2 linked regions of the Sus scrofa genome follow. The protein of the gene in region 1 purifies or fractionates together with the protein of each later gene. This does not show direct contact. Links are inferred from orthologs where the notes say so. Each region holds a gene or a part of one and is shown in the gene's direction. Other genes may lie near its edges.

Region 1 (15,306 bases):
CCTTCTCTTTTTGGAGGGGCCTTGCCGAAGGACACACAGTTTCTCTTACCCTTTGCCCCTGGATGAGCAGTTTCCCCTGTGGGAAAGGGCTGCGATTGTTCAGTTCTGTTTGTGGCTGGGTGGGCTCAGTTTAGGGGAAAGGAACTATTAGGATGCCCATTTAGTTGTATATCTAACCGTTGCTCTCCAAAAAAAAGTAAAAAATAAAAGAGCAAGGACTAAAAACATTTTATCAAATTTGAATACAGTTTACCAAATACATCCCACAGAATGCTAACTTTGCAAGATTTTGAAAAGTATGCTTTTATAAAAGGGATTCAACAGGTTGATAAGATTTGCATGCTACAAGGTCTCTCAGTCTTTAATATGATAACAAATATTGCAAATCTCTAGAAAGTGTGAAGTTTCCCAAACGTCTTTGATATTGAACATTTTACTCCCCAAAACACAGACTCTGTGCTCATAATGAGTGGAACACAGTTTGAGAAACCTTGCCAATAAGGGTATTTGGTGTATTCTTCTCATAAAGTGAAGCCTGCTCATTTTCTAGTGGCTATAATGTGTGTGTGTGTATATGTGTTTGGTCTGAACTACAGAGCCAACCACGGACATGAGAATGTGCACAATTAATTTCTATAAGAATTGCAGTCCCATCAGAGAAGAAAAAAATAAAAGCAATTCAGAATAAAATGAAGTAGTTTATAAATGGATTAAATCTAGCTATGTGTGTCAGCAAATCTAGCTGTAGGGGTACAAATACATATCACTTGAAAGAAGTAGGTGCAGCCAGAATGTGTGAATAGGAACTGTGGCAGCAAGAATACCATCCATTTGAAGGTAAGAATTTGGGGTTCCCATTGGTTGGCATTAACGGGGGGGGGGTGTTAGTATTTCTTCTCAGCTGTGAGAAGTACTGCCCTGATGTCTCCATCTCCAGCCAGAACCTCTCAGGACGATTAGCAACTGATCCCAATTCATCTAGGCCAGTAGATTGTTTATTTAAAGCATGTTTCTTTTAGCCTCAGTAAAGCATAAAGAGATAAATAAGTATTTCAATACTTACTAGAAGCTCTTCCAAAGTAAACTTTTTAAGTTTGCTAAAGTAAACTCAAAATACTATTTATCATTTTAATTCTATGCTTAGAAGTAATTCATGCATATTTGCGTTTGGTATTTTAAACATTTGTAATGTTTAAGATAATTTGACATTTTAGAATGCCTAACAGGTTATCCTTGTGATGCCAATTTTTTTTTTTTTTTTTTTGTCTTTTTAGGGTGTATGGAAGTTCCTAGGCTAGGGGGTCAAACTGGAGCTGCAGCTGCCAGCTATACCTCAGCCACAGCAACGTGGGATCCAAGCTGCACATGTGACCTACACCACAGCCCACAGAAATGCTGGATCCTTAACCTACCGAGGGCGGCCAGAGATTGACCCAAGTCCTCACGGATACTAGTGGGTTTGTTACAGCTGAGCCATGATGGGAACTTCCCTTGTGATGCCAATTTAAACCACCTACATGAGCTGTGTAATTGACTTAGATTTCTGATTTCAAGTGAAAAAGATATGAGAATTTTATTAAATTTGTATTTTTGTAATAATCGAAAGAACTTAAGATTCATCATATTTTGTAATCATATTTATGAGCATTACTTGTGATTCTTTTGTTTGTTGAGCAGTGAAGTATTTTAAAAAGAAGATTGAATACATTAAATGTAGAAATGCAGTTTAATAATTCATAGGAATTTAATTAACAAAATTGTAAACATTCACTTAAAGAGAGACATATATAGAACTCGAAATTGAAAGCTTAAAGGAAAACTAGGTTTTCAAATTTGTAATAACTGAAACTGAATGAATTACTGTATATTGCTTTTTTTGCCCACAAAACCTGTCTTCAAGAATACTCCACACCCTGATTGCCATGTAGGGGGAAGGGGAGGTGACAGTGAGTGGTAGGGAGAGTGGGACAAAGGTCTTCCTTGTGTAATCCTCTCTTCCTTGTGTGGATGCACTGCTAGCATCAAAGAAGTGCAGCCCAGTGAATCCAGTTGCTTGATTGTAACCACTGCATTCAATAACATTTTTCAAGATTCTGATCTAGAAAATGTGGGTCGTATAAATGTTATTAAGATGTGGTTCCTTCTCTCAAGCAGTTGCCCCTTTTTTCCACTTTGCATTTCTCTCTTCTCCATTCATGAAAGGACTTTGCAGCAAACACTTGCACTTTCTCACCTTGACCTGCTCAGTTTCACTCAGTGGAAAAGCAGACACAGCAATCAGACACCTTGAGTGCAAATTCTCATTTTGCCATTTTCCAAATGAACTTAAAGCAGCAATTTAGGCTTGATACTTTAGTTAACTCATGAGTCAAACTGAGATAGCAATATTATTTACCTCTCCAAGTTTTGAGAAAATTAGGGATAGCAAAGACAAGAGTGCTTGGTAACAAGCAATGACCTTCAGTAAATGGTAGCCATTAATATGATCTGTGGTTACCTCCATCATGTCCTTGTACAGATAGAATGTTACCTGATATCCACCTATCACAAAATTTATTTGGACTTCCCTGAGCCCATCAAGAGCAGGGAGGACATCTGAGACAGGAGACAGTAGAAGGTAATAGAGAACTCTTCTTTATCTACGCTCACTCTCCAGCCAATTGTATCCAGACCTATGATTTCAAATATCCTTACTTAACTAATGAGACCCAACATTATATCAGGTCTGATACCTTCTCTGAACACAAGATTTGTATATTGGGTTTCCTATTTGACATCTTCATGTGAATGTCGGATAGTCACATCAAACCCTAAAACAAAACTCTTAATTTTTCTCTCATAAACGTTCTCCTCTCTCAAACTTTCCCATTTCAATAAATGGCCATTCCATTCTTCCACTTGTTTGGTTTAAAATCTTAGAATCATCTTTGACTTCTGTTTCTCTCACATGCCAGAAATATATTTCCCAATCCTTACATAAAATGTACACAGAGTGGAGTTCTCATTGTGGCTCAGTGGGTTAAGAATCCAGCAGAGTGTCCATAAGGATACAGGCCTCCATCAGTGGGTTAAGGATCTGTCATTGCTCCAAGCTGCAGCGCAGGTCACAGGTGTGGCTCAGGTCTGGTGTTGCTGTGGCTATGGCATAGGCCAGCAGCTATAGCTCTGACTTGACCCCTAGCCCCGGGAACTTCCATATATGCAGGTACAGCCTTAACAAAGAAAAAAAATGTACACAGAGTATAGCTTCTGTTAACCAGCTCCTGCCACCATCCCTCATGCTGCCATCCTCTCTTTGGGATTTCTGCACTAGCCCCTGACTAGTTGTCTCCTTACCACTGTTGCACTATTGCACTTGATACTTTGCATAATAAAACAGAAGTCGGGTCAAATCACTTCTCCACTCAAAGCCTTCCAATGGCTTTCCATCTCATTAGAAGAAAAAGGCCTTCACAGCCCCTGGATCCCTCTTCTGCCATTCCTTGGCTGGCTTTGTGCCCGTCAACTTTTATTTCTAGAATATAGCACCCTTGTATTGGTCTCAGTTCTTTTATACTTGATATTCCCTCTGCTTGAAATATTCCTTCTTCCAAAATTTGCCCATTCATCCTGCCACTTCATTTTCCTGCTGTGGGTCACTTTAGCTGAGCAGCCTCTTCTAAAAGCCCTATTTAAAATAATATACATGCCCAAACTCTCCCCACCTTATTTCACTTAAGCTTGGCACCTGTCATTTACCTGACTTGCTAGCAGCTTGGTATGGTCATATGCCCAAATTCTGGCCAATTGAATATGAGTGGAAGTGTTAAGTAAACTACCAGTTCAAGTCCTGAAAGAGAAGACCTAAGTCCTCTATTTCACCTCCTTTCTGGCCCAGTGGCTGGAACCTGAATGTGATGGCAGGAGCTAGAAAAGCATCTTAGACCACCATGTATAAGTTACGCATTGAGCTGCTAGAACAATCTGTGTCCTTGATCCCTTATCAGTTCTGGAATGCTTACAAATTTGAATGGCCATGTAAGAGAATAACTTTTACATTGTTTAAGGCTTTTTTTTTTTTTTTTTAAATATTGTCTTCTTTTCAGAAATCAAACTTTAGCCTAATACATACATATTTTTTGAAAGTCCATCTGCCCTCCCAACCCCCAGGGACAATACATTTAAGGATTGACCTGGAATGTAGATTCTGTGAGAGTAGGGGCTTGATTTGGTTTACTGTATACAGCTTCTTTTTTTTTTCTTTTTGTCTTTTTATGGCCACATCCATGGCATATGGAAGTTCCCAGTCTAGGGGTCCAATCAGAGGGGCAGCTGCCTGCCTACATCACAGCCACAGCAGCAGGGGATCCAAGCTGTGTCTGTGGCCTATATCACAGCTTACCGCTGCTCATGGCAACGTGGGATCCTTAATCCACTGAGCGCCAGGGATTGAACTCACATCCTCAGGGGTACTAATTGGGTTCATTACTGCTGAGCCATGATGGGAACTCCTTTAAACAGCTTCTTGAATGGTGCCTGGCACACTAAGCTTTCAATAAATGTTTGTTGAATGAATGAATAGCAAAATCATCAACATAGTGCGAAGCCTTGAACACTGCTCTGAGGAAGCACATGGCTGATCAGTATAAGTAAGTGATTGGTACAGCAATGTGCTCTGTGTGTGGTTGGTTTTCTATTCTGACTAATCACAAAGGCAGGATACAACCTGCTATTTTCATTATCTGAGAGGCATAATACTTGTAAGATGGTTGTGTGTTGCTTTTGTAATTTAAATGAAGACTCACAAGTAAAGTTCATTGTTGTAATGAAATCAGGTCACAGAGTCATGGAAAACTGTGGCAAGGTTCACACTTATGAGGAAAGGTCACACATCACATGCTAAGCACAGATGGAGAAAAGGAGCTTGTGTGCTGAGCTCTGGAGATGTGTGGCTAAGATGTGCATCTGTGTGGATGGCAAAAACTGATAGCTGGAAAAACTACAGACAAAGAATTGCACAAATTAAGTCAAAATGAAACAGAAACATATCACAGGGTACTAGCAAGATGCTTGGGGGTAAATGCTGCAGACATAAAGCCACTGAATTCCTGGGTGAGTAAGAATACAAAAAAGAGTTACGGTGCCAGGATAATATTTTTGGTATCAAAATATATTTTTCATGCTATTACATTTGTTTTGAATATTTTAATTACATAGATCAGCTAATGTAAACATCTTAAAACATGGTGGCTTTAAAAATACAGTAATAAGATCCTGTTGGTCTGGAATTAAACCACCTTAATTTAAAAATGTCCTATTTCCTGAATGATGAAAGTTGTAAAGGTGTAGGCTATCTTGCCATACCACACCCCCAAGTGTAATATTGCTGAAATATTTAAAACAAGTTAAGATTTGTTTAGTCATTTTATAATACACATATAAATTCTGCTAACAGTTACTGATATGAAGTTTTTGTTGAGTAATTAGCTAGAAAGTTGAAGAGAAATTTCTTAATGATGTGCCTCTTTGCTTTAAAATTTTTCAGTAAGAGAGTAATTTCTCCTTTCTAGAAACATTTATATTCAAATGTTTTATATTCAAAGAATAAGGACAGCTTTTAGATTAGGACAAAGTACTACAAACTAGTAACAATAGTTACTTCTTTGTCCTTACCTCATTCTTGTGTCTAACTATTGCTCGCATTTTGGTGAGACCTCTGATCTGGTATACTGTATGACTAGAGGGTAGGGTAACGATACATGTGACCTTTGTATGGCAGCTCATTTATCTGAGTATTTCATGTTGAAGCCACAAGGTCGGATAGGTTCTGGAATATAGAAATGGAAGTGATCAAAATATGGCCTTCTTTAAAACTCCTTTGCTGTACTTTACTGGAAGAAGTTTATGGCACAGGTGCCCACTTTTGATGACTTTTTTTTTTTTCTTTTTTTGGTCTTTTTGTCTTTTCTAGGGCCTCACCCGTGGCAAATGGAGGTTCCCAGGCTAGGGGTCCAATCGGAGCTGTAGCAGCCAGCCTACGCCAGAACCACATCTGCGATCTATACCACAGCTCACCACAACGCTGGATCCTTAACCCACTGAGCAAGGCCAGGGATTGAACCTGCAAGCTCATGGTTCCTAGTTGGATTCGTTAACCACTGAGCCACCATGGGAACTCCTGATGACTCTTATCATGATATGCAAATCAAGTCATTTATGCACAGAAATACCTTATAAATTACAAGGAGGTAAACAAATTCATGCATTATTATTATAATTGCGATAATAACAATTTAGGAATTTCTGTTATGAAAGAAGGCAGCATGGAGTAGGGTATAAGAATTTCAGACTAGAAGCCCTGGGCCCTATGAACTGGAGAGAGGATGGGCTCTCCTTTGGGAAGGGAAGGAATAAGGTCATTTTGAGGGAAACTAAGTCTGGGGCCCCAGATTTGGAGATTACCATATTAAGAATCAGTGTAGTTGGTAAATCCTCACACCCTGGATGAGTGGTTTGATTTTATAGTGTTTGCTGCCTGGACAGGACCCACCATGGTGACACAGTGTTAATCTTTAAAAATGAGCTAAGCCAATACATTTGTTTCATTGTGTGGCTCAGATAATGAACCTTAGTTTTACTGAGATAGCTTACTAATTGAAGAGGATTATGCTTAGTGACTTACATATGTAATTAATCAGTGCTTAAATATATTGAAGGAAGATACAATGTTTTATTGGTTCTGGAAAGTCTTTGAAAAGGTGCTAGTTCTGCAGTAAATAAGCCTGAGCTTTAGAATCTTACTGAAAGGTAAGACTCACCCTCTTTGTGCTGTTTCCCTGAACACTCAACAGTGTTTTGGAAACCTGCAGTTATCTAAATTCCCATCAGGTGACATTGTTTAATCTGACATTCCCTCTTTCAAATATGAAAACAGCTCTAAGGACAAACCACCAAGATGCTTTGAACTCTCTTTCTGGTGCTTGGGAGGAGGTTTCCAATCTCACTCCCTTTCCTCTGATGATTTTCCTTGCCACCCCACCATCCCAATACATGGCTTGAAAGGGCCTCTGGCTTCTCCCCACCCTCTTTCAAGGGCTCATCAAAAAAAAAAAAAAAAAAAAAAAAAAAAAAAAAAAAAAAAAAAAAAAAAAAAAGGGCTCATCAGGGGCAGGAGCCTTTGACTTTGCTCAAAAAAAAAACACCTGTCTCATCACTGAGCTTATTAGGCCACCCAGAGTCCAGATGTGTAAAAGTTACTTGGAATGAACTTTTTTTTTAAGTATGAAAATTTAGGTCTCTGATACTGAGAGAAAAAGACTATTGCTTTAAAATAATGACTACACCAATTTCCAAATATTGTGATTAAAGTACGAAAACAGAACACCTCACCTAAAAAGGCTGTGAAAATGTTATTTTACTTTAAAGACAGGAATAACCGAAAGTAACAATAAAAAGGTTTCTTCTAGGCCTAATCTTAAGAGTAAGCTGCTTGTTATACACTAGGCTCATACAAAGGTCTTAGAAGACCCCAAGCCCTGATTTTGAGGACTTTAGAAAGATAAACGCATTTGTTTAAAAAAAAAAATGTGGCTTGCTTCCCTTTTTTTAAATAACCCCTTGCATTCCCTTTCTCATATTGTCACATCATCACTCATCTAAGTTACACTGTATAAACCGCCTTGATATGCTACACACATGCAAAAGTACACAAAGTGGATAAACTTGTACTGCCGATGCTGCCTTAGAAGTATGTATTTAGTAAACATTTAGTTACATTATTTTATTTTTGTGAAAAGCGAATTGATCGACCAAACCTTTCAAACAGACCCACCAGACGATAAATACCACCATATGTTTAATTCACTGTACATTTGGGCATAAACACTTCAATTACAGCTTTGTGTTTAGTATCAAAACCCTTTTCTTGTGTGCGTGTTTTCTGTACAGTTCCTGTGCTCTGGATTACATTTTGAGAATCGCTTATTACAGATAAAGCACCTTTCCAGGTACGCTTCCGAGAAACATATGTATTTATGCACACAAAGGTGCGTGCAGATCTTCTCACAAACACATGTCCATATGATGCCTGCGCCGTACTCTCCGCACACGCTCCCTGCGTGCGTTATGGCCCACCTGCCGCACCGCGCCGTCCGGGTGCCCGGGGGCCACGCCGGCCTACCCAGGAAAGTTTACCAGCAATGCCCCCCTCGCGACGGCGCGAGCATCCCCGCCCCCACAGGGCCTTGAGCCGCGCGGCCAACACCCAGGCCTCTCCGCACCCGGCCGCGCGCCGCGGTGGGGGCGGGGCGGTCCGGGCCCGGTGGCGCCTCGGGGCGCCTGCGGGTCTTTCTTTCTTTTTAAAAGGCTGCGCCGAACCCGCCCAGCCCCCCCAGCGCCACCGCCCCGGGCGGGCGGGGAGAGGAGCGGGGCCAGCAGAGGCCCCCCTAGCCGCGCCGCCACCGCCTCCCCGCGTCCGCGGCGCCCCTCCCCCGCCGGCCCCTCCCCGCGCGCCCGCCCGGCGCAGGCCGCTCGGGTTTGTTTTGCTGCGCGGCCGCCGCCGCCGCCGCCGCCGCCGCCGCCGCGGGCCTCGCGAGCTCATTTGTGCCTGGCTGGTCCCCATTCCTCTCTCCCCAGTGTTGAGTGTCTGAGCCGTTGGCTGCTCCGAACCGTTTGGCTCTTTCCCTTAGTAACAGCTTTTACCTTCTGCCTCAATTCCTCTCCCCGCTCGCGCCCTTCCCCCGCGCGCCGCCTCCCCCCGCCGCCGGCCGCGTGCGCCCCCGCCCCTCCCCCCGCGGCGGGAGCACCTCCGCTCGCCACCTGGGGACCCGCGCCGCGCTCCCCGCCCCCGCCCGCCCGGCGCCCATCCCCCGCGCCCTCCGCTTGCCGGGGTTATAATTGCCTCTCACCCCCCGGAGGGGTTATTTTGGGGGTGGTTGGAGGCGGCGGCGGCGGCGACGAGGGGAATTTCCTTGTGCCTCCATTCCCGGGAGGGGGGAGCGCGTCGGAGGCCACCGTTTCCAGGTAAGCGCCGGGGGCCGGACCCCGGGGTGGGGGCTGCGGGCCGGGGCGGGGGGCGCGGGCGGAGGTAGTTCGGGGGCGCCGGCCGGCGGGGGGATGGGCTCAAGTGGAACGTGCATTTTCAACTTGGCCCTTCGGGGAGCTGGGGGTTTGGTGGGGGAGGGAGAGAAAGGAAAGGCATTTAGGGTGCCCCATCCCCCCTTTTAGCTCTCTCAGGCTTCTTTGAAATGCTCACGTGCCTGCCCACCCCCTACCCTTTCCTGGTCCCGGGGGATCCTCACCCTTATTATGCTGTTGTCCCCGAAAATGTGCACCTCGGCCTTCTCCCCATCTTCCACCCTTCATCCGTTTACACCCCCTTTGTGTGTGAGTGTGTGTGTGTGTGTGTGTGTGTGTGTGTGTGTGTTGTATAGGGGGAGGCTTTCAGGAAGGAATGTGCAGCAAATTGAATCAAGGAGCCATCATGAGGCCGACTCCTTTATAGCCTATTTTTAGCAGGGGAGAGGGATCTCTACTGTGCGTGTTATTTTGTTAAACCTTAGGCAGCAATGGAAATCCGCTCCCCTCCCCCGGCGCGGCCCGGGCCCAGGCGCGGCGACCCCGGCCGGCGTGCGGGGGGCTGCGGGTGGCTGTTAGGGCCGTGCGTCCCGGGCGGGGGCGCGGGCGGGGGAGGGGCGCGCGGCGGCGGGGCCGCACTCCTGGACGTGTTTGTTTGTAACTTAGTGCTTTTTATCGTCTGGAGAAGATATTTGATAGAGCCACTTTGAAGTTGGGTTCAGAAGTGTAGAATTGGCAAAGTTATTGCCAGCTTCCTGGTAAGTTTTGGGTGGCTCAGAGTCACATTATTTTCTGACAGTGTAAAGGCCACGTTGTGAGGGTGGTTTCTTGGTAACTTCCTCTTTGCAACCGATGTCATTTTTTGAACAGAAACAGACTTTTATTTAAGTGAAATATTAATCTGAAATGGCAGTTCAAGGGAAGCCATGCATGTGTTAACGTGTTCAGTATTTTTGGAAGTTCCTAATTTGCTCAAACAGGCATCACTTTGCAGTGGCAACCGAGAATAAATTTAGGTTTGTGAAAATGGTGTTTCACGTGAAATTTTGGTTGTAATGGCTCTTAAAAAACCCTCCCGTTTTTAGGTTATCTAATAACATTGTCGAAAATAATTTGGTGATTAAAATTTACAAAAGTGTTGGAACCTAGTTTAAAACTTGCTCTTTCTCAGTGTCCGGAGTTTACTTAAAACCGTGTACTGTGCAGGCACCAAGGTGAAGAGTTTTAGTACATATGTGATTTTACAGTTGACTGAGGGAAGTTGACTATTGGCTTTCTTGTTTTCCAAACAAGACCCTTATGCTAATCTAAACAAGCTTGTTAATAAAATATGGTGGGTGAAATGATGGGTTATTTTTAGTCGGAATGGTTTGATTTCCCCTCCCCCATATAATCACCCCCCCTTCCCCCGTTTTTCTTAAAGACTCCTTTATCGGATATAAGGCCCTGGTGGTGTTTTCATTTACTTACCTAAAGAAATTGTAATATATATCTTGGTTACACATTGGAAGTACAATGGGTGACTTTTTTGTTTTCCCAATGTGGTTTATTTTCATTTTTGTTAAATAAGATCCATGTTGCTTGGTGTATTTTTGTAATCTTGACTTACTGGGACTGTATGTTCTCACCATTTATAACAAGTTTATAGTCTAGGGAAATAGGGCAGCTTTGTCTCCATGAAAACAGTGTGTAGGGTTGTATCGTGGGAGTTCATGGCAAGCAAGTTTCGGAAATTATCATTGAGCACGTTCTAGAAATAGTTAGCATTTACCTGTGGAGGAGGGGCAGCAGAAGGAGAATAGGCCTGAGAGTGGTTAGGCTCGTGATTCCTGTTTATACTTTTTGCTCTTAAATCAGGTTTTTCTGCTTCTTTGGAATATGATGTTTTGTCCATTTCTGCTGTCATGTACTGTGTGATATATGTAATCATAACCATTAAGTCCATACATAGATAATTACTATTTTTTGCCATTTGAGTAGTTAAAATCAGACCTAGAGGACAAAATACTAAGCTGTGTGGGGGATGAAAATAGTATGCACATTGAAAAAAGTTTTTTTTTTTTTTTATTGTTAAGGAACTTAATTAAGGGACTTACTAATGGCATAAAAATTGTTTCATAGCTCATCACCAGTTTATGATTTTTCTTCCAGCATATATCAACTTTGGTTATTAATATGGGAGACACCCTTGGTAAATGGAATGGCCCCTTTTGAAGGTTGTATTTTTTAATTGGTTGCTTCAAAGAAGTGTTAAATATTTAATAACTTTTACGTATTCTCAACATCTCAATATCAAATTAAGATTTGTCATGATTACTGTGATACATTCCTACCAAGAGATCACTGCTTCCTCTGTACTGGGGGCCTATCAAGCAGATGGGGTAGAAGCTTAACACACAGGGGTTACTGGTAAATAGAAATATGACTGATGGACCTTTTGAATGGCAACCTGTTGAATGAATAATCGGTTTTTATATGGCAGTGAAATATAAGTACCACTTTATCAAATAAGTAGCTGACAGGACTCCTCCTCCAATTTACTCCAGCAATTATTACTACAAAGAATTTTTGACTTGATGCATTTTGATGAAGTTAGTATAAATAATTTGTTGGGTTTGTTCAGTTTCTGTGTTATTTATATAAAAAGAATTGAGAAGAATGTGACTAGTAAGGAAGTCAGAGGAGAGGACGGCAAAAATATTGGCACTGTCTGGGACTTTGTATTTTTCTAGTACATAGAATTTGACTCATTTCATAAATGACATTTAAAGTATAAGTCAATGAAATGCAAAAGAAGAAAGCAGCTAACATTGAGACAGTTATAAATATACATAGTATTGAAGGGCTAAGGACCCCCCCCCCGGGGGGGGGGTGCTGTGTAGTAGAGAAATGGTAGTTCACTGATTTGGAGACCACCATGGCCCTATCTCCTGCTCTATCACCAACAGATACTTGAAGTTAAAAAAGAGAACAGAACAGAACAACCTGTGAAGGAGGTCATGCTGGAGAGGTTTGCTATTCACTGCCTCTGGAAATGGACTCCCTAAGAGTACAATTAATTGCCATGTTAACAGAGTCCAAGGAAAGGATTCTGCTTCAGCTCAGCTGTAAGAAAGGTGTGAGGTGCTTTCTATGTCATTTTTACCTCAGGCTAATCCTATGAAGTGGGTAGTATTGGGCTCTTTTTGTGGATTATTGAAACAGCAAGGTGCAGGTAAGTTAATTCATTTGTCCAAGGCCACAAAATGATCAAAGGAGCACTAGGATTCAAACCTAGGTGTGTCTGAGCCGTAGTCCATGTTTTTAGATGACTGAACTGGGCCAAAATTTCTCAGCTGTTTTGTCAGTCTTGTCTACAGTTATCCTTGCAAAAACTAGTGTTTTTTATTCAAATTTATAATTTTGTAGTTAGGGTCTCTACCAACTGGGTCAAATGATTGCATGGATAAATGAAATTTATATATGGGGCTCAAATGGCATTGGCTTAACTCTAGAACTGCTTAATAAGATGCAATCTTCTGGTCAACTGCTGTATTTCCTACATTAAGATTGACAGCAGTGCTGTAGCCTTTCCACATACTGTCAGCAGAAATAAGATGTGGTTCCATACGTACAATTAAGGAAAAGCAAATAAAAGTTCCTGAAAACTTGTAGGAGAAAACTCATAAAAGTCTTCTTGTGCAGCGTATCGATTCTGTCAGGGGTTCTTGAAGAGAACTGCTTGGTTTCAAACTTGGGCTCTGTCCCTTACTAGTTTTGTCACTCAAGGGGAGTAACACCCGCTGTGTCTCAGTTTCCTGCTCTGTGTAAAGGGACAGTCAACTTCTAGAGTTGAGAGGAATAAGAGAACTGTGTATGTAAATTGCTGAGAACAGAAGCTGACAAACAAGCATCATGGAAATGTAAGTTTGGAATGTTGATAAATTGGGTTGAAATTTGCTTTTTTGTATTACATTTTGTTTGTTATTTAAGTAGGGGCATAGTGTCAAAGAAGGTATTTGGCAGTTTTATTTCCTGAATTCTTAGGCAAAATAGTTGATACATGATCAGCATAATTTATTTACTTTTGAAGTGGTGATTGAAGGCTTACTTGAAACATTAGATTGGATTTTAATACTAAGTGGGAACATTACCAAGTTGGTGTAAGTACAGTAGTGGGTCTTTTCTGTGCCTTTGTTGCTATTCTGTCACTTGAGCTTGGACTTTTAAAATCTGAACCATTTGAAACATTTTCGAACTCTTTAAATAAAGAGATTTTATTTTTCTAGGCTGGGTCTGGCAGTACTTAGGATTTGCTTTTTAAATTGGAGTGATTAAGTAGGTTATTGTTTTCTCCTTCCTCATCCTTTCATCTGTGTTCTTGTTCTATATTTTCAGCTGCTGTCAAGACAGTTTTGCTTGGAGGTTCTTTCTGTTCCTCAGATATCTGTGAGCCTTGTCTTATTTTTCCTTCCCTTTTTTTTTTTTTTTTTTACCATTCTTAATTCAGCAGTAATGTTAACTACTACTAGAGTTCACTGTGTCAGGCCCATGATTGAGTACTTGTGGCAGTCCGATTATCTGGTATTCTGATGAATGATGAGGAAACCAAAGCTCAGATAGTAAGGGGTGTAGGGATGGATTTAGGCCTAGTGTGTCTGCCTTCTAGGCCAGTGTTCTTAACTAGCAGTCTTTTCCCAGTGAGTGAAGGAAGGCATTAAGGACTCGTTTGAGTTTTCTGGGTTATTGCATTACTTTCTAGTAGATTGCCCTGAGCATCCTTTCTTCTCTAACTAGTAACAGTATAATTTATTTAAAATATTGGTTTCATCATGTTAGTTCCCCTGTCTGAGAACCCATAATGGCTTCCCTTTCCCAACTGGATGTAGCTATTATGCTTTAAATCTGGCTTTTAAGGCTCCATAATACCTATTCAACTTTATTTCCCACTCTTCTCCAACTGGGATTCTTGCCTGCCTATCAAATACTGTAGTTTTGCCACACTCATTACTCCTCTGCTTTTGCACATGCTGTTCCTTCCCTTTGTCCATTTTATAGCCTAGTTTCTATCCTACTTCTTTCATGAAGTTTTTCTGAACATCCTGACTCAGGATATTTCTTCTCTGAGATTCATTGCGTTTAATGAATGCACAGATTCTGTAATTATTTATTAAGTATACGTCACATTGTCTAAACTACATGTTAAGTTTCTTGAAGGAAAGGCCCATTTTCCTTAAAGTATTTCACAGAATTCTTAACTTTTATATTATACTATCTTTATGATAAAATGGATTGTTTCTTTGAGGGCTCATGCTAAAATGAGAGTAGTGACAGTCCTCTTTCACTCTTGATGTGGAAGAAGCTTCTTTTTGAATTAGGCCTTCAGAGTTTAGTTGTACTATAGCCACATTTAACTGTTTGAATTTCGATGCTGCCACTGTTGACAAGGACGGAAAAAAAATCTAGTCAACATTTAGAGTGAAGTGAAAATGCTTAGTTTTATCTTCTTAATATTTCACCACAGTCCTGGTGAACAACGTAGTCCAGTTAGAAGTCATGTCTTGTGTTTATTTATGTGTTGTTATGAAACTTAAGATTCTGGATTTTATTTTTTTAATCCTCACGCTTTTTTGCTCATTATTTTCTCAGTAGTATGTCTAAATAAGATTGTTTTTAGCTCTCAGCTCTGACCGCATTGGAGTCCATTTGAGCCATTGCTATGAATATATTAAACATACATCTATCACACAGAATAATAAGTGGGTTTAGTCTACCAGAAGAGTGTCCTGTAGCCATCACTCTTCAGTATGTTTTTATGGTAAAGATGTGGCAGATTAGTTTCCAACAACTTGGGCAATTTATTCTAAAGGTAACTAATTTGGTATTATGTCCTTGAAATTTTTAATATTCAGAGTTTTAAAAGGTTTTTAGTATCAAACAAAGTGCGTTGGATGTTTCCCTGCTTGTAAGCTCTTAGATTCTTAACTCAGAAGTAATACAGTTGAACTATGAGGACCATGCTGAACGACCAAAAATTTTAGTTAAACTTAAAAAGAGTGTCCAGATTAATAAACGTATTTATGTAAAATGAACGGGGAAGGATAGGTATTGAATGTTTAAACCAAGGAGTTTGCCACCTGTTATCCTCTTTATAGAAAATTTCAGGAGATAGAATTTAAAAAAACAGAACATGGGTCAGAGATAGTCATCCCAGTATTTTAATAGAATAATTTGTCTTTATTTTCCTCTTTATAGATATTGAATGTTTAAACC
Region 2 (15,389 bases), on another chromosome or scaffold:
GTTTGTTGCTCTTCAGTGCCTCATTCCTTTTTCCAGTTACTGCCCCTTCATTCCTTCCCAAAGGTTAGTGACCATGGTCAGGTCTTGAAACACTAGTTTAGTAGCACTTGCTATTGAACTTGGTCTAAATGGGATCATGTAGACCATTCAGTAGAATTTTCTGTGATGATGAATATGTTCTATTTCTATACTAATATGGTTGCCAAGAGTCATGCATGGCCATTAAGCATCTGAAATCTGGTTTAACTGAGGAACCGACTCCTCTAAGTTTTATTTTATTTTTTTATCTTTTTAGGGCCACACCTGCAGTGTATGAAGCTTCCAAGGCTAGAGGTCGAATTGGAGCTATAGCTGCCAGCCTACACCACATCCACAGCAGTGTGGGATTCCGAGCCACATATGCAACCTACACCATAGCTCACGGCAACGCCGGATCCTTAACCCACTGAGTGAGGCCAGGGATCGAACCTTCGTCCTCATGGATGCATGTCAGATTTGTTTCTGCTGAGCCATGAATTCTTTTGGGTCTGGATGCCTTCAGTCAACACTGTTTTACAGATTCATCTGATTGTTAGCACATGGCTTTGGTTTCCAGGACCTGTATAATCATTTTACATACACACCACAGTTTATTCATTGTTTATAGACATTCGGTTGGCTGCTACAAGTGGTGCTGCTGGGAGCAGTTTCACACATCTCTTGGTGCACATCTGTCCATGCTTCGCGGGATACATACTGAGGCATTGACTTGCTTATGTTCACTTTAGGTGGTTATATGTGGTTATGTGGTGTAGGTTGCATATGTGGTTTATTTTTTCCAAGGTGGTTGTTCCCATTTCTTTCACTCCATTAGTAGATAGGAGTTCCCATTGATTTACATCTTTTGTAGAATTATTGGTCTTTTTAAAAAAAAATTTTGGAGTTCCCTTGTGGCTCCATGCTAACAAACATGATTGGCATCCATGGGGATGCACGTTTGATCCCTGGTCTTGCTTACTGGGTTGGGGATCCTGCATTGCCATGAGCTTCGGTATGGGTCATGGACAAGGCTTGGATCTGGTGTGGCTGTGGTGCAGGCTGGTGGCTGTAGCTCCAATTTGACCCCTAGCCTGGGAATTTTCATATGCCAAGAGTGCAGTCCTAAAATGCAGTAAAAAAAACAAAAACAACAACAAAACCCAACATTCCTCACCATTCTGCAGTGTTGCCTTTGTTATCAGCCAAGATTCCATATAAGCATGGGTCTGTTTCCTGAGTCATATATGCTGTTCTCTTGGTGTCTTCATCTATTCTTGCACTGGTACCACATTCTTAGTTATTGTAACTTTATAATAAGTTTTCATAAAAATAAATCTTGTCACCTTTTTCTTCTTTGCAAAGAGCATCTTGACTTTTTAGTGTATTTCTTCATCCCTTTGAATTCATCTTAGGGCAACTCACTGACCTAAATCTAGCTTTAACTAACACAGTGTGTAGTAGCTTGTGATATTTTAAATTGCAGACTATACCACACTAGTGCCCAGCTCAGAGGAAGGTGTAGCTGTATCTTAGAGGAATTATTGGCACCAGTGAACCATGCAGGCTCTGGGTGACTGTGGACAGGATGGGATGAGATAAATCTGGGGTGAGAAGCTAGCGAAGACCAATAGATGGACACCTAGCTCCACCTTCTTGGACATCATCATTCTCAGGAGAGGGAAAGAAGGTTTTAGGAACCCAGGAATGTCTGTCTTGCTCACTGTTGTATGCCTGTGCCTGGCATACAGTGGGTGTTCAGTAAATATTTGTTCAGTGAATGCATGTGTCTATAATAAATCCTTCTCAGAAGACATGATACAGCCATGAGTTTCACCCTTTGCCTTAGATACCAGAAAAGCTTTATGAAAACTGAATTTTTAAACTGCCTTTGAGATTTTGTCATTTCATGGTTTTGCCTTTTTATTTCTATAGTCTTATGTGATTGCCTTGAGTCTTTTTGAAAATACATAGTTGGGTGTTTTTGTTTTTTTGGTTTTTTTTTTTTTTTTTTTTCATGATCAATCTAGTGATTACCTGTCAGTGATTATGGAAGTTTGTTGACTTTCTGTATCCCTAAATGGAAATAATTTACAAGTTTCCTAGCATAGTAGGCTCATACATATTAGAATTCAGTTTGCGATTATATCCAGCTTCCCTTATTTCAGAAGAGTCAGAAGAAACTGCTAAGTTATCCTCAGTTTCTCCAATTTGTATTTCCTCTCCTTCCTGAAAATATTCGTTGATGATGCTTACATAAAGCATATCTTTATTTGGTTTCTGCTCTAAATATTAAACTTCTCTTTCAATGCAGATGTGGAATTAGAAGAAGCAATTAGAAGAAGTCTTGAGGAGATGTAATTAAAGATATTACCACACAACATCAAGTGGCCTTGAAGAGACTCAGGATAATGAATTTTTGAGTTTTCTAAAGGAGACTAGAAATCTACTAGTGCAGATGTATTTGAAAACACGCTTTTTTTGCTTTCATATGTTCAAAATATGATATTGCTTTGTATTTTTGTGCTACTTTGCAAAAATGTATAGAGGAATAGAATACATGTTCATGCAAATACAAATCATGTGTTCTAAAACAGGTGTCACCGTTTCCCAGTTAATGTTGAAGTCATATATTTAGGTTAAAGGAATTAAAAAAAAGAAAAGAAAAGCTCTTGACTATTGTTTACATGTTTCCCAAATAGAGTTTGTTTTTTAATTTTATTTGTACTGTACAGATAATTCTAGCTTATTTTTTTAGGAGTGAAAATGAATATAAATAAAGCTGCCATAGCTCACTTTTTCTGTAAAGCCTACGTCTGATGTGGCACTAATACCTAATGCCTTTGAGATCTTCGATTATGATTATTGGAAGAGAGTGATGGAAGTGACCGTGGAAACATGAAGTTCCCCAGCAGTGTTCTCTGTGGGTGTCAGACGGGCAGTCCTGCTTTAATTAGAGCAGCACATCGCTGGGATGTAGAAAAGGAACACCTCATTTCTTAGAAAGTATTAAAAAGAAACTTCTCCATTCCCTTTACCTGCTTAGACTTTTATGTGACTTGTCTTATCTCCTATTTAAAGGGAACGATGTAAAAATATTTGCATAGAATTAGACTTATTTTTAATAATATTGGTCCTTTTATATGTATATTTGTGTAATCATAGTATTCTTCAGATAATAATGTTGAAGGTCTGCTCAGGAGTAATCTTCCTTTACCCTTTAAAATTTCTGTTTCATATGGAAGTATCTTCATTTTAGTTATTCATTAAATTGTCAGTTTCCTACAGCTGGTATCACATACTTAATTTGCAAGTGTTGAGTTCCCACTGTGCTAATAACAATATTCCATAATTAGATGACTCAGAAGGGGCTTGTCATACTATCTTGTGCATATGTTTCATGTTACTTGAACAGAAATGTCATCTCTAAAGATTTCGAGTTAGTAATTACTTACCAAATGTAAAATTTTCTCTAAGTATAAATTTTTCTTTAAGAAAAAAAAATCGGGGCTAGAACTTTGTTTTTTCTCTACAACTAGATAATTTAGTGTGAAATACTGTTACTGTTTTTTCGGTTCACATTGGAAACCAATTTGTTTGTATTTCTTAAGATGTCAGTTCTAGTTCCCTGGTGGCTCAGTAGGTTAAGGATCTGGTGTTGTCACTGCTGTAGCTCGGGTTCAGTCCCTGGCCCCAGAATTCCACCCCACCCTGCCCCGATGTCTGTCCTACCTCCTTGAAGTTTTTTTAAAAGTAGACATCATAGCTTGAGAATGTACCAGTCATTCTTCCAGAGCGACCACATTGTGGTTTTGTTTGTTAAAGGACTTAAGCAAGGCTTTGGGAGGGAATCGCTGGGCCACACCTTGAGGACATCTGCAGGAGCGCACTCAGTAGTGAGCCTCAGAAAGGATGTCTAGCAAGAAGATGCTCCGGCAGATGCCGCAGAGCAGTATCACAGCAGCAGGCGGGATGCAGCCCGTGTTCTGGTAGGAGGCTTCTGAGGTGTGAATGGTTGAGAGGAACTGAGGCTTTTTCTATGACAGGAGTGGACTGTTTCACCATGACCCTTAAAATACGGTAATTGGGTTGTTTAACGTTTTAATTAAGAATAGTCACTGACTGTATAATCTACTTACTAAGCAATTAAAAATCATTTTAAAATTACTTCATACTTTGTACTTAATTTAGCTATAAGGAGGAGAGGTAGTTGGTAGATGTTACAAAAAGTTTTGTGCATTATTATCAAGAGTAAATGTTGCTAACATTGACAGTGATGCTTATATTTTGGGTTTTTTTCCCACATTTTATTGTGATTCCCTTTTTTTCTTTTAAAAATGTTTTTATTGTGATTCCTTCTTTTTATACCTGAATAACAACTTCCCCAAAGGGATGATGGACATGTTTATTCTAAGAAGGATATATAGATAATGTATTGGTAGCATCTGCTCAGTGGTATCATTGATTCTCTTAAATAAAAATTCCTCAGTTAAGAAGGTGGGGTTTTTTTTTTGGATCCTTGGTGTCCTACCAGCCCAGCCCTTTGTCCTATTTCTTACCCGCCTGCTGGCCTGGCTCTCCTCTCTGACATCGCTGGGGAACAAGACACGGGTTTGTTCTGGGCTCCCTTGGCAAGTGCAGCTCTGATACTCAGCAGGCTGGGGCTCAATTTAAAGAGCATCATTTTTTTCTTTTCAATTTCTTTCAAATCATTTATTTGTTCACCCACTCACAAAGTATTCTTGGCTACTTACCATGTGTTCGCCACTGTTCTCGGCACTTGAGATCCCCCCCCAACACACACACACACAAAGCCCCCACTCTGGAGCACTCGGGGAGGGGGTTGGATAGAACCTCGAATGATAAGATAGTGAAACAGGGAAGGGGGGAGAGCATGGGGCTGGGCAGGGGGAGGCAGTTATTTCCAACAGGGTGGTCGGGAAGGACCCTGACCAGGTGAAGCTCAGGAGACCTGAAGGTGGGCGAGCTCTAGGAAGAGGGTGAAAAGGTCTAGAAGAGCAGGATGAGCTCAGAGGGCAATGCAAGGTGGCATCCTTAGAGACCTTTTCTGAAGACCCTGGAAAGGAGGAGCCCTGAAGGTTTCTGAGAGTAAGTGGTGTGACCTGCTGTACTTGGACTGCTGTGGGGCTGTGTTGAGTGCAAACAGCTGAGAGCAGAAGCAGGGGTGCAAGTGGGAGGGCAGGCCACTGGTCCAGGAGGGAAGGCAGGCTGGGTGCACCCTGAAGGGGAGGGGACTGGGTCTCTGGCATGAGAGTCCAGGGTGATGCTGAAGTCACCTGATAGACTTCCATTCTCCAAAAGTGGAAGGATTCTTTGTTCGTGTCATGATATGAGAGAATATACTTAATGATGTCAAATATTCCCCTCCAGCAACAATTCATCGACATGGAGTCTAAGTTCAGAAAAATTGCCATCCAGCCTTAAGGGCTTCATCTCTGTTCACTTATTTACATGGCTTTGATCTCAGATTAAAGGTTGTGATCCAGCTTTAAAGTGTTATTATCTCCACTTGAAGTGCCCTGTACCTTCTCATTCTTGCAGCGTGAAGCAGCGAGCTCCCCACAACATTCACTCCACTTGTACTGACCTTCATGGTGTCTGACCTCGTGGCCTACGGCATCTTTTCCTAACAGGAGATTTAAATAAGTTGGGTGTGAAAGGGTCTTAACCATTTCACTTAAATTCCAGCAAATAACTTTTGAACAGAAGAAAGTCATTGAAAATAAAGGAAGTTCACCTTCCTACGTCCCGCTGGGTGGTAAGAGGGGCGCCTTTTCTCGCGCGCTCTATTAGCCTCGTTCTCATCTCCGGAGAGGGCCTGGTGGCCAGGCAGGTCGGGCGACACGGCCCCGGCGGCCCGGCTCTGCGCGCGGGAGGCGGGAGGGCGGGCTGGGCTGGGCCGGGCCGGGCCGGGGGCGCGGGCTCCGCCCTGGGGGCGGTGTTCCAGGCGAAGAGCGGGCCCGACGCCACGTGAGCCGCCCCGCAGGCCGCCCGGCTTCCTCCTACCGCCCGCGCGCGGTCAGCCAGCGCCCCGCGCCCCTGGGTTCCCCTGGCGTCTGGAGCCCCGGTTCCCTGGCCCCCAGTCGTCCGGACCCCAGTCCTTGCTCGACCACCCGCGCCCCCCGACCCCCAGTCCCCTGGCCCCCAGTCCCCACCCAGACCGCGGATCCCCAGCCCGGGCGCGGGCGGCGCGTCAGAGAGAGGCGTGCGGCGCGGTGACGGCGGTGACCTCGGGCCTCCGGGCGCAGATGGCTCAGGCGAGGATCAGCGCCAAGGCCAACGAGGGCCGCTTCTGCCGCTCCTCGTCCATGGCCGACCGCTCCAGCCGCCTGCTGGAGAGCCTGGACCAGCTGGAGCTCAGGTGTGCGGGGCGGCGGGCGGATCCGGGCGCGGTCGGACCCCGGCCCTGGGGCACTCGCTAGCCTGTCCGTCCGGCGGTCCCTTGGCCCCGCGTCCCGGCGGCCGCGCTCTTGCCTGCGCGGGAGCGGGGGAAGCCGAGGAGGTGAAGGGTAGGGACGCCGCTGGCGGTTGGGGCTGGGCTGACACCGCGGGTCCGCGGAGCTTCCAGAACCTTCTGCACGCCAGGGGTTCGGTCGGGTCTCCCTGAGATGCTCTTTCTGAACGGGTGGCGGTCTAATGGTCCCAAGGTCAGTGATCCATTCTTTTGCTTCCAACACTTAAGAGCAATATCTCAGAATAAAGCTTCGGGGCCCCATCGGATCCCAAGGCGGGGCGGGGCGAGGGCACTTGTGGGGCGCCCGCCCGGTCCCCTCTGCGTTTTTCCCGGCGCCGGGCTCCCCCCACCAAGAGCCGCTCCCACCTTCCAAGTGCAGTTTGCTGGCCCGAAACCACAGGGGTCACCTGTTTCCACTCTTAGCTGATTCAGGTTTTAATAAGGAATCAACGTGTGGCTTGAAATAAAGCCGCGTGAGGGGGCCCGAGCTGCGCTGTTGGGGGGCGTGCTGAGCACCTGGGGGTGTGGGGGGGCCTCTAGCGCCGCCCCGGCCCCACGGAGGGGACTTGAGGGCGGGGTAGATGGGCGAGCGCACGTTTTGATAGAAGGTCGCTGCTGGTCGGGAGAGCAGATGTGTCCTCAATGGTTTTAGTGCTTTTCTGCGTGTGGGAAGATGCAAGAATCTGGGTTCATTAAATTTTCCTGAAAATCTCTCTCTGTGGGCCTGTTCCGCCAGTTTTCCCAGAGCGCAGAGCCTCCTCATTCCTGCTCGTCTGAATTCTTTCCAGGCTGTGCTGTCAGTTCCTGTAGAACCGGGTGGCCAGGGACTCTCCTAGCGGCAGATGGGGTGGTAGGCTCCTTGGGATGCCTAAAGCCTATGCAAGAAGTTTTGGACCTACTTTTCTCTTTCCACAATGTATGAAAACGTTGATGTACTTCTCGTAAAGGTTCAGGTCACAAAAGCTACTGTATAAATTGTGTGCAAGTGTAGTTTTATGAAAATCTTAACTGGGGCACCCACAACTCCCTTAAACCTCCGCATTTTTTTCCATAGTTTGCACCAGGTTCTGGATGAGCAAAGGAGTAGGTAAGGTAGACATTTCAAGAATTGCCTTTACCTCCCTTGATTAATACACCAAAACGGGAGGGGTCTTATGACTCATAAAGTACACTAATAACCAAATGAGGCATTTCTTCATTATTTATCATGATTAACTGAATGAGGCATTTATTATTTATCAATTAGCATTAAGCAAGTGAGGCCTATATTAATCATTTTAAAATTTAGTATTTATCATTTGAAATTTGTTATTGATGATGATGGCAAGAAACAATGTCTTCTCGGAAAATAAATTCAGAATGTATACCTGTATGTGTGATTGGGTCATCTTGCTGTACAGTAGAAAATTGACGGAACACTGTAAACCAGCTATAATGGAAGAAATATCATTATAAATGAAAAAAAAAAAAAGAAAATAAATTCTCCACCATCATGATTTTGTGGGTAGTAATGGAAACCAGAACCCAGACTGGTTCTGGGGTCCTGCTGGGAATGACACAGATGGAATAAGGGGAGAGCAGTGCTTCCCGTGGCTGGACCTGCTGAAGCCAGTGCTCCTGAATGTCGTGTGTTGTCCCCTTTCCAACCCCCGCCCCGGCAGACTGCCTTTTCTTTTTTCATCGCATCGCAAAGGGGTCTTGTCATCTTCCCGGGCTTTAGAACTTGGAGGGGCATGTTCTCAACCATTTCTGGGGTCTCCCCACCCCCACACCCCATCAGAAAGGAAGGGTTTCTTCTTCAGGGACCGTGGGGGATGTTGCCCCCGCCTCCTTCTTCAAGCTTGAGTGGTGGTCCTCAGACTTGAACTAGTGCCTCACGTACGAAAGCAGCCAAGTGCTCGTCTTTACCAGGAAGGCTTTGGTTTTGAATATTGTGTTCCAGCGATTGATGTGAAGCGAATTCTGATTACTGAGTACAAGCAATTAAATTGTATTTTGCCGAATTAACTCTTGAACTGAGGAGGAAAGGCTGATTAATGTGTGTCTAGTTGTTCATTTTAAGGACCTTCCCAGTAATTGTAGACTTTTGCGAGCTTTATTTCTTGCTTTTAGAAAAAGTAACGCTGAGTGAAAACTTAGGAAGCATTTGGGAAGGTGGGTAAAAACAGGAGTTTTTGAAACCATGTGAGCCATGGAGAGTGGAGTGCACTCTCAGAACCTAGAATCCTACCTAGAAGATCAAGTGGAAGAAGAATGCATGATTTTCCCAGGTCATTTTCTCTAATGGTTTAATTTCATATGAAGGATGACTAATAAGGAGTTCCCGTTGTGGCTCAGTACCCATGAGGATGTGGGTTCGATCCTCGGCCTTGGTCAGGAGGTTAAGGATACGGCCTTGCCGCAAGCTTTGGCTGGGGCGTAGGCCAGCAGCTGCAGCTCCCACTCATCCCTAGCCCAGGAATGTCCAAATGCCACAGGTGTGGCCCTTAAAAAAAAAGGATGACTAAACAGCATACTAGCTAGAGAGGAAATTACAGGTTGTACGTGGAAACTCGCTTTTACTGGCTTTGTCAGTTGTGGCAAAAACTGCTTCCGTCTGAAGCTAAAAAACAGATTTGTGCTAAATGCTCTAGGACCTGGTGTGTGAACTGGTGCCCGCGACGTCTGAGAAGCTTTAAGATGTTGGCAGCATTCTACAGACCAGTCAAGAATTTCCCTGGATTTCTAACACTTCTCCACACCGCTAGCCTTTCTTTTTTGACTCTAGCTCACCTCCTTTTTCGCTTCCTCCTAAAAAGGTGATGCCTTTCTCTCCGGGTTTTCATGACCAGTTCAGCTGGTGCCTGATTTTCCATTCGTCAGTGGCCCAAAACATGTTTCTTACGATTGTCACTGTTTTAGCAGCTACCGTGATTTATAAATACTGCACACTAACAGCTAGTTAGTGAATGACATGACCATGCAGGGCCCTGCCTTTGTGGAATTTACCATCCCCTCCATTCTGCATGTGGAAAAGTGAGGCTTGAGAGCTTAAATGACTTGTCCAAGGTCACACAGCTGGAATCCGGGAGACTGATATCTTCTGCCTGAATTTTCTTAGAGTTAAGTGTGTCGTATTTCAGGATGTAGGAAGAGTATGTGGATGAATGTATGATTTTACAGAAGGAGGTGAACTTTCCACTTAGACTGGTGTTTGGATGAATGAATATTGAACTGTGCCAGGGGTCAAGTGGCCCCTAAAGGTTCTGGAGGGTAACAGGTGTTTGGACGTGGGGTGTGTGGACACAGCAGAGGGGAAAAGGAACTGGCTGGGAGACCAGCTGTTCACAGATTTCCCCAAAGGGCTCCTAGCATGGCTCCTCCCCCGCCTGCCAGCCACTTGCAGTGGCTTCCGTGGCAGCCAGGGAGTAAAGGATCGGCGAGGGGGGGCACAGCTGAAAGTTTCCTGTCACGGTTCCGTGTGTGGCGTCCCAGGGGTCACAAAGCAAGCTGGCGCCATAGTTAGCATCTCTAAGAGCCTGTAATTAAAAAGATCCCTTGTCATAGACACTGTCATCTGAACCTTCCAGAACCCTTTGAGGCAGGAGAAGGACACCTATTATCTCTTTTAGGAGCCGGGGGATCCGGTCCAGGGGGATTGGAGGCCAGTCTGAGGCCACCCCACTAACAAGCCGCTCCTAATGCTAAACCCTGGTCCCATTTTTACCCCCCAGTGTCTCAGCCGCGAGTGTAATGCATTGTTTTGGTGATGACTCGGACGCCCTTCAGAAGCTGCACTTTGCCTGAAACGTACATGATCCTTGTAGCCTTCCTTGATACAAGAGTAAGAATAAGGTGGTCTAGCGGTTAAGGATCCCAGCCTTGTCACTGCTGTGGCACAGGTTCAGTCCTTGGCTTGGGAACTTCCTTGTGCCACAGGCTCAGCCAAAAACCCTCAGGAGTATTGAATAAGAAACAGGACTATGATTTCAAGAATTGTTTTAGAAATAATCATCTTTGAAAAAAGTCTGTTTACCATTTCTCCTCCTCCACTTTTTTGGGGGGGGGGTTGGGGGTGTCACCTGTGGAAGTTCCCAGGCCAGGGGTCGAATCAGAGCTGCAGCTGCTGGCCTACACCACAGCCACAGCAACACTGGATCCTTAACCCACTGAGTGGGGCCAGTGGTCAAACCCTAATCCTCATGGATACGAGTTGGGTTCTTAACCCACTGAGCCATGATGGGAACTCCCACCATTTCCCCTCCTTTTGATGAAAGCACAAATTCTTGCCATTTGGAAGCCCAAGTTCGTAGTGGTAAGTGTGTCATAAAAACCAGGAAGCTAGTGTTTGCGGCCTCAGCTCTGGGCACTTGATGCTGACAGTGGCCCCCATGGACCAGAATCCACGGATGCTCAAATCTGTAGAAAATGGTGTAGCAGTTGGTGCTCTGCATCCGTAAGTTCTGCATCCGAGTTACTCATAAATACATTTTTAGTTGATGCTTTCGGTCACTGCGTTAAACTCCACCTGCTTCACTCCATTCGGTCACAACCACTGTCACATGATCCGTATAGTGAAAGTGAGGAAGTTGAGGCAAAGAGAAACTACCCAAGGTCACCCAGCTAGTAGGTGGCAGCAGCACTGTCCTGAGTGGCAGGACTGAGGCCCTTGCGGTCCCTGCACTTGTGACCAGCCTGTGCAGTCAGTCACCTCCCAGCTCCTCCTCTCTCTGGTCCCCAGGCTGTGGGGACCCAGCGGTCCGCGCCGTGCACTTTTGTCCTAGGGACATTCTGACCATGGCCTGTCTTTGTTAAAGTTTAGTCCTGATTCCATGCGGAGAGTGTTCCAGGAGCACAGCCCAGGCCGCCCTTGGAGCGAGGATCAGTTCTTTCCCAATTTGGACATGCAGCTCTTCCAGGATCTGCTCATAAAAACAGAACCACCCTTCTCCGCCAAGAGCAGCGCTGTCAAGTGAGGTGTTGAGAACGTGAAGGGTAAAGAGAGGCAGTCTCACCCTTGTCTGAGCAGAGTTCCAGAAGACATAGCAGAGTGGCAAGTGGGAAATATTTGAAGATATATATTGGCTAACAATTTTCTAGAACTAATGGGAGGGACAAAAAGATGTATGTATGAGTTGATTTCGGAATACCAGTAGCTGATGAACAGTACAACTAGCACCCAAGCAAACTAAGTAGAGATGTAGGATTGACTTTTTTTAAAAAAAATAAAACCTTCATCCTGTGAATAGTCCATCCACTAGACCAGGGTAGGACTGACTGCCTGGGGCAGGGGAAGGAGGAAGTTGCTTAGGAAACAGTTCCTGCCAGAAGGATTGGGTTTTGAAAAAGGATCACCCAGGAGGCCTGGGTAGGGGAAGAGGGATGTCGCAGGACGAGGGGGCAGCAGAGGAAAGGGCCGTGATGCCAAAAGCTCTGGGAATCTTTGCATCGGGAAGGATGGCGTTTTACTGTTGCTGTGAGATGAAAAGGGTTTACACAAAATCATACATGAGAAGTCCTTTAGGACTTCCCATCGTGGCTCAGTGGCTAACCAACCCGACTAGGAACCATGAGGTTGTGGGTTTGATCCCTGGCCTCGCTCAAAGGGTTAAGGGTCTGGCATTGCCGTGAGCTGTGGTGTAGGTTGCAGACGCGGCTCGGATCCTGCATTGCCATGGCCCTGGCACAGGCCAGCAGCTACAGCTCCGACTGGACCCCTGGCCTGGGAACTGCCATATGCTGCGGGTGCGGCCCTAAAAAGACAAAAAAAAAAAAAGGAGAAGAAGAAGAAGTCCTTTACAAGATAGAAATCTGTGTGTTATGGAGAAAATGCCCTGGCAATTTCTAGCCATATGGGGGGAAAAAGTAAAACTTAAAAATTCCATCTCATTTCCTCTACATTTGGTCTCATTTAATGACAAAACATCTTCTGTGACAGATTTTTATATTTTTGTCTAAAGCGTCTCTTTTCAAACCACTTTCTTGTTAACAACCCATGAGCTTCGTGTTGAAACTTACGCTCATAAATGGGCCTCCTTCTGTAGAGTAACTCTCAGTTCTCTCTTTATCATCCTACATGTGCATACAGGCTCAGGAGGGCTGGAAAATTCATCTCTTCTGTCGGCATCTTCTCATTTACCAATCAAGTAATTCTTTGGTGCCATTGAAATGCTGGAGTCATGTTTTGTTTTTCATGAATGTCTCATTTTTGGTGCCAAGCTGACCCTTTTGGTGTGTGCCAGGCTCTAGAGTATGTGCCTGAGGTTCCCTAGGTTATATTAGAAGATTCCAGTTTCTATTCCCTAGTGTGTATTAAAGGGCACGAGTCTGTAATGAATGGGCTGGAACACAGCCTCATGCTGCGCTCTTACTGTTTGATAGACTATTGGTTTTGATTGCATTTTCCAGCTAAATTTGTCACATAAGATTCTTCCTCGCTCTTTGCTCCTGCTGGCTCTTATAAACACAGAGTCCAGCGTATATTTAGTATCTTGATGAATTCAGACCCTGTGACTACCGTCTGTCTGTCGGTGCTATTTCGGGGGACAACAGGTGGGTGCCCATTGGGAAGAAGGCCTGCGTGTGGCTGGTGGGGAAGGGCCATCCGTATATGGCCTGTGCTCACACTGCCTGGTGGTTCCTTCTGCGCCCACGGAGGGCACGGTCGGGATGAGGTCTGTGATCTTGTGCTTCCAAGGCCGCCTGAGTGTTGGAGCTACATCTGTCACTATTTATTTTGCAAAAGTCAGCAACTTGTTTAGTTGTGGTGTAATATATGTAAGAAAATGCCCTGGAAACAGAGCACCTTAAACACACAGGATTTTGTTTTCTTCTCCCCTGATTCCACAACCTGGTTCTTTAGTGACTGGCTGAGTCCGTAGTCGGTGCCTGTGTAGGGTTGGGGGAAGTGGTGCTTTGATAGTTTGATTAGGGCATCGTACCCAAAACCCACAGAGGCATTCTCTTTAAATTCGGAGAAGGCAAACATGCCCTTGCTCATCACCATCGTTTGGGCTTTTTTTCTTTTTCTTTTTTGGCCGCCCCAGGGCATGTGGATTCCCAGGCCAGGGATCAGATCCGAGCTGCAGCTGCAACCAATGCCACAGCTCAGCAACACTGGATCCTTAACCCACCGTGCTGGCCATTGTTTGATATTATATAGGAGGGCTTTGGTCAGTACTATGAGAAAGAAAAATAGGAGCTAAGAGGATTAAAAAGGCACAGATAAGGATTATCGTTTTTGCAGATGATATATATGATCATCCATCTAGAAGAACCAATGGAATCAAAAATCAAACCATTAAGTGAATAAGTGTTAAGGTGGCAGCTACAACATGAACTACAAAAACAGCATTTTTTTTTCCAACCAGCAATAGCCAACTAGAAAATGCAGTATATAGAAATGTATTATTCCCAATACCAACACTATCCAAAGTATCAAAACACTTAAAAGAGTCTGTACAACTACCATCAGTACTTCAGGGAGTTCCCGTTGTGGCTCAGGGGAAACAAATCCAACTAGGATCCTTGAGGTTTGATCCCTGGCCTTACTCAGTGGGTTAAGGATCCAGCATTGCTGTGCTTTGTGGTGTAAGTCGAAGATGCGGCTCAGATCTGGCGTGGCTGTGGCCGTGGTGTAGGCCTGCAGCTGCAGCTCCTATCTGACCCCTAGCCTGGGAACCTCCATGTGCCTCGGGTGCGGCCCTAAAAAGAAAAAGCAAAGGGTGTTGGTATAACAACAGGCACAGTGCCGAAAGATGGAATAGAGACTTCAGAGGCAGACAATCTACAAATCATTGAGGGAAAGATGGATTTGGGGATGGATAACGTTGGAGAAAATGGTTCACTATATGGAGAAAAAGAAACACATCTCCCCTAGCCACACACACAAGGTGGATTCTAGGTGGATTAGGACATAAGCATGGAAAGGTGAAGTCAGACGTTAGTAGACGGGGGTGCAGGAAAGCGTCTCAGGACCTGGGGAGGGGAGGGCCCTGCAGCAAAACTTCCCGATATGAGCCGTGAGGTAAAACCAAACCAAGCAGAGATGGACCTGACCCCTTCAGAACAAGGCCTTCTGCTCCATGAAGGACGCCCAGACACACTTCACAGGGGACAGGATGGGAGAAGGTGGTTGCAGGGCCTGTCACCAACAGGGCATTAACGCCTTGAGTGTGCACATGGCAGGGGGACAGTAACCCCAGTGTGCAAAAAGAAAAAGCAAGATAGGCAAAGGCTGCGAACAGCCTCACAAGGATACGGAGAGATGTCCAAAGTGATGAGTAATGAAAGAAGGGCAGATTAAGTACTGACGCAGCACCTACTACACTGACAGCAGAAGGTTAGAAAGTTGGGAAATGCTGAGCTTTGATAGGGCTGTGGGGACCCAGGGGCTTTCTGGAGAACAATCCAGAATGGAGCTGCATGAAGGGTCCGCACACCCTGCGAGGAAGCCGCCCTGCCCTGGGATGGTGCCTGTTATCAGGGCCCCGAGAGGACAGGTTGTCATTGACCTGTTACTGGAGGTGACGAAAAACTGGCGCCGAGGTACATCTCTACTGGGTCGGGGAGGTCAGGTCAGGTGGGGACACAAGGTGGCATTTTATGCGAGACCTAGGAGCTCCTGATTACACGTACTCGGAGGAACCTGGTGCTTCGTCATAAAATACACTGCGTGAGGGCAGAAACAGTGAGATATAAATAAGTTGAAAATAGGCGAGCACACAAGTATTCCGTTTTTTTGTAGAGCAAATACAAATAAATAAACGCTAAACAGAACTATTGCCCAGTGAGTGGGGAGGAAAATGGGAGCAGCAGGGCAAGTGGATTAAAAAGAAAACTTAAAAGCACAGAAAACAAGGAATACGGCATTTTTGGTTAACCATCTTTAACCGTGAGTTGGACTGAGGGATGGGGAGAT

What was found.
Region 2: the proteins of TBL1XR1 (region 1) and BAG2 purify together in Homo sapiens (affinity purification with mass spectrometry; 3 studies listed by BioGRID and IntAct, with this or other methods). This does not show direct contact. The link is inferred for Sus scrofa from reciprocal best matches to the Homo sapiens genes TBL1XR1 and BAG2.

What each region holds. Positions count from the first base shown.
Region 1 is NC_010455.5:115,481,642-115,496,947, reverse strand, and holds the start of TBL1XR1 (F-box-like/WD repeat-containing protein TBL1XR1), read left to right. Parts: upstream 1-8,719; 5' UTR 8,720-9,000; intron 9,001-9,278; exon of another isoform or gene 9,279-9,386; intron 9,387-9,650; exon of another isoform or gene 9,651-9,812; intron 9,813-9,832; exon of another isoform or gene 9,833-12,956; intron 12,957-15,306. UniProt on the Homo sapiens protein: F-box-like protein involved in the recruitment of the ubiquitin/19S proteasome complex to nuclear receptor-regulated transcription units. Plays an essential role in transcription activation mediated by nuclear receptors.
Region 2 is NC_010449.5:28,671,077-28,686,465, reverse strand, and holds the start of BAG2 (BAG family molecular chaperone regulator 2), read left to right. Parts: upstream 1-5,968; 5' UTR 5,969-6,284; coding exon 6,285-6,397; intron 6,398-6,534; exon of another isoform or gene 6,535-6,672; coding exon of another isoform or gene 6,673-6,683; intron 6,684-15,389. Other genes in the region: E3 SUMO-protein ligase ZNF451, read left to right, coding at 2,330-2,376. UniProt on the Homo sapiens protein: Co-chaperone for HSP70 and HSC70 chaperone proteins. Acts as a nucleotide-exchange factor (NEF) promoting the release of ADP from the HSP70 and HSC70 proteins thereby triggering client/substrate protein release.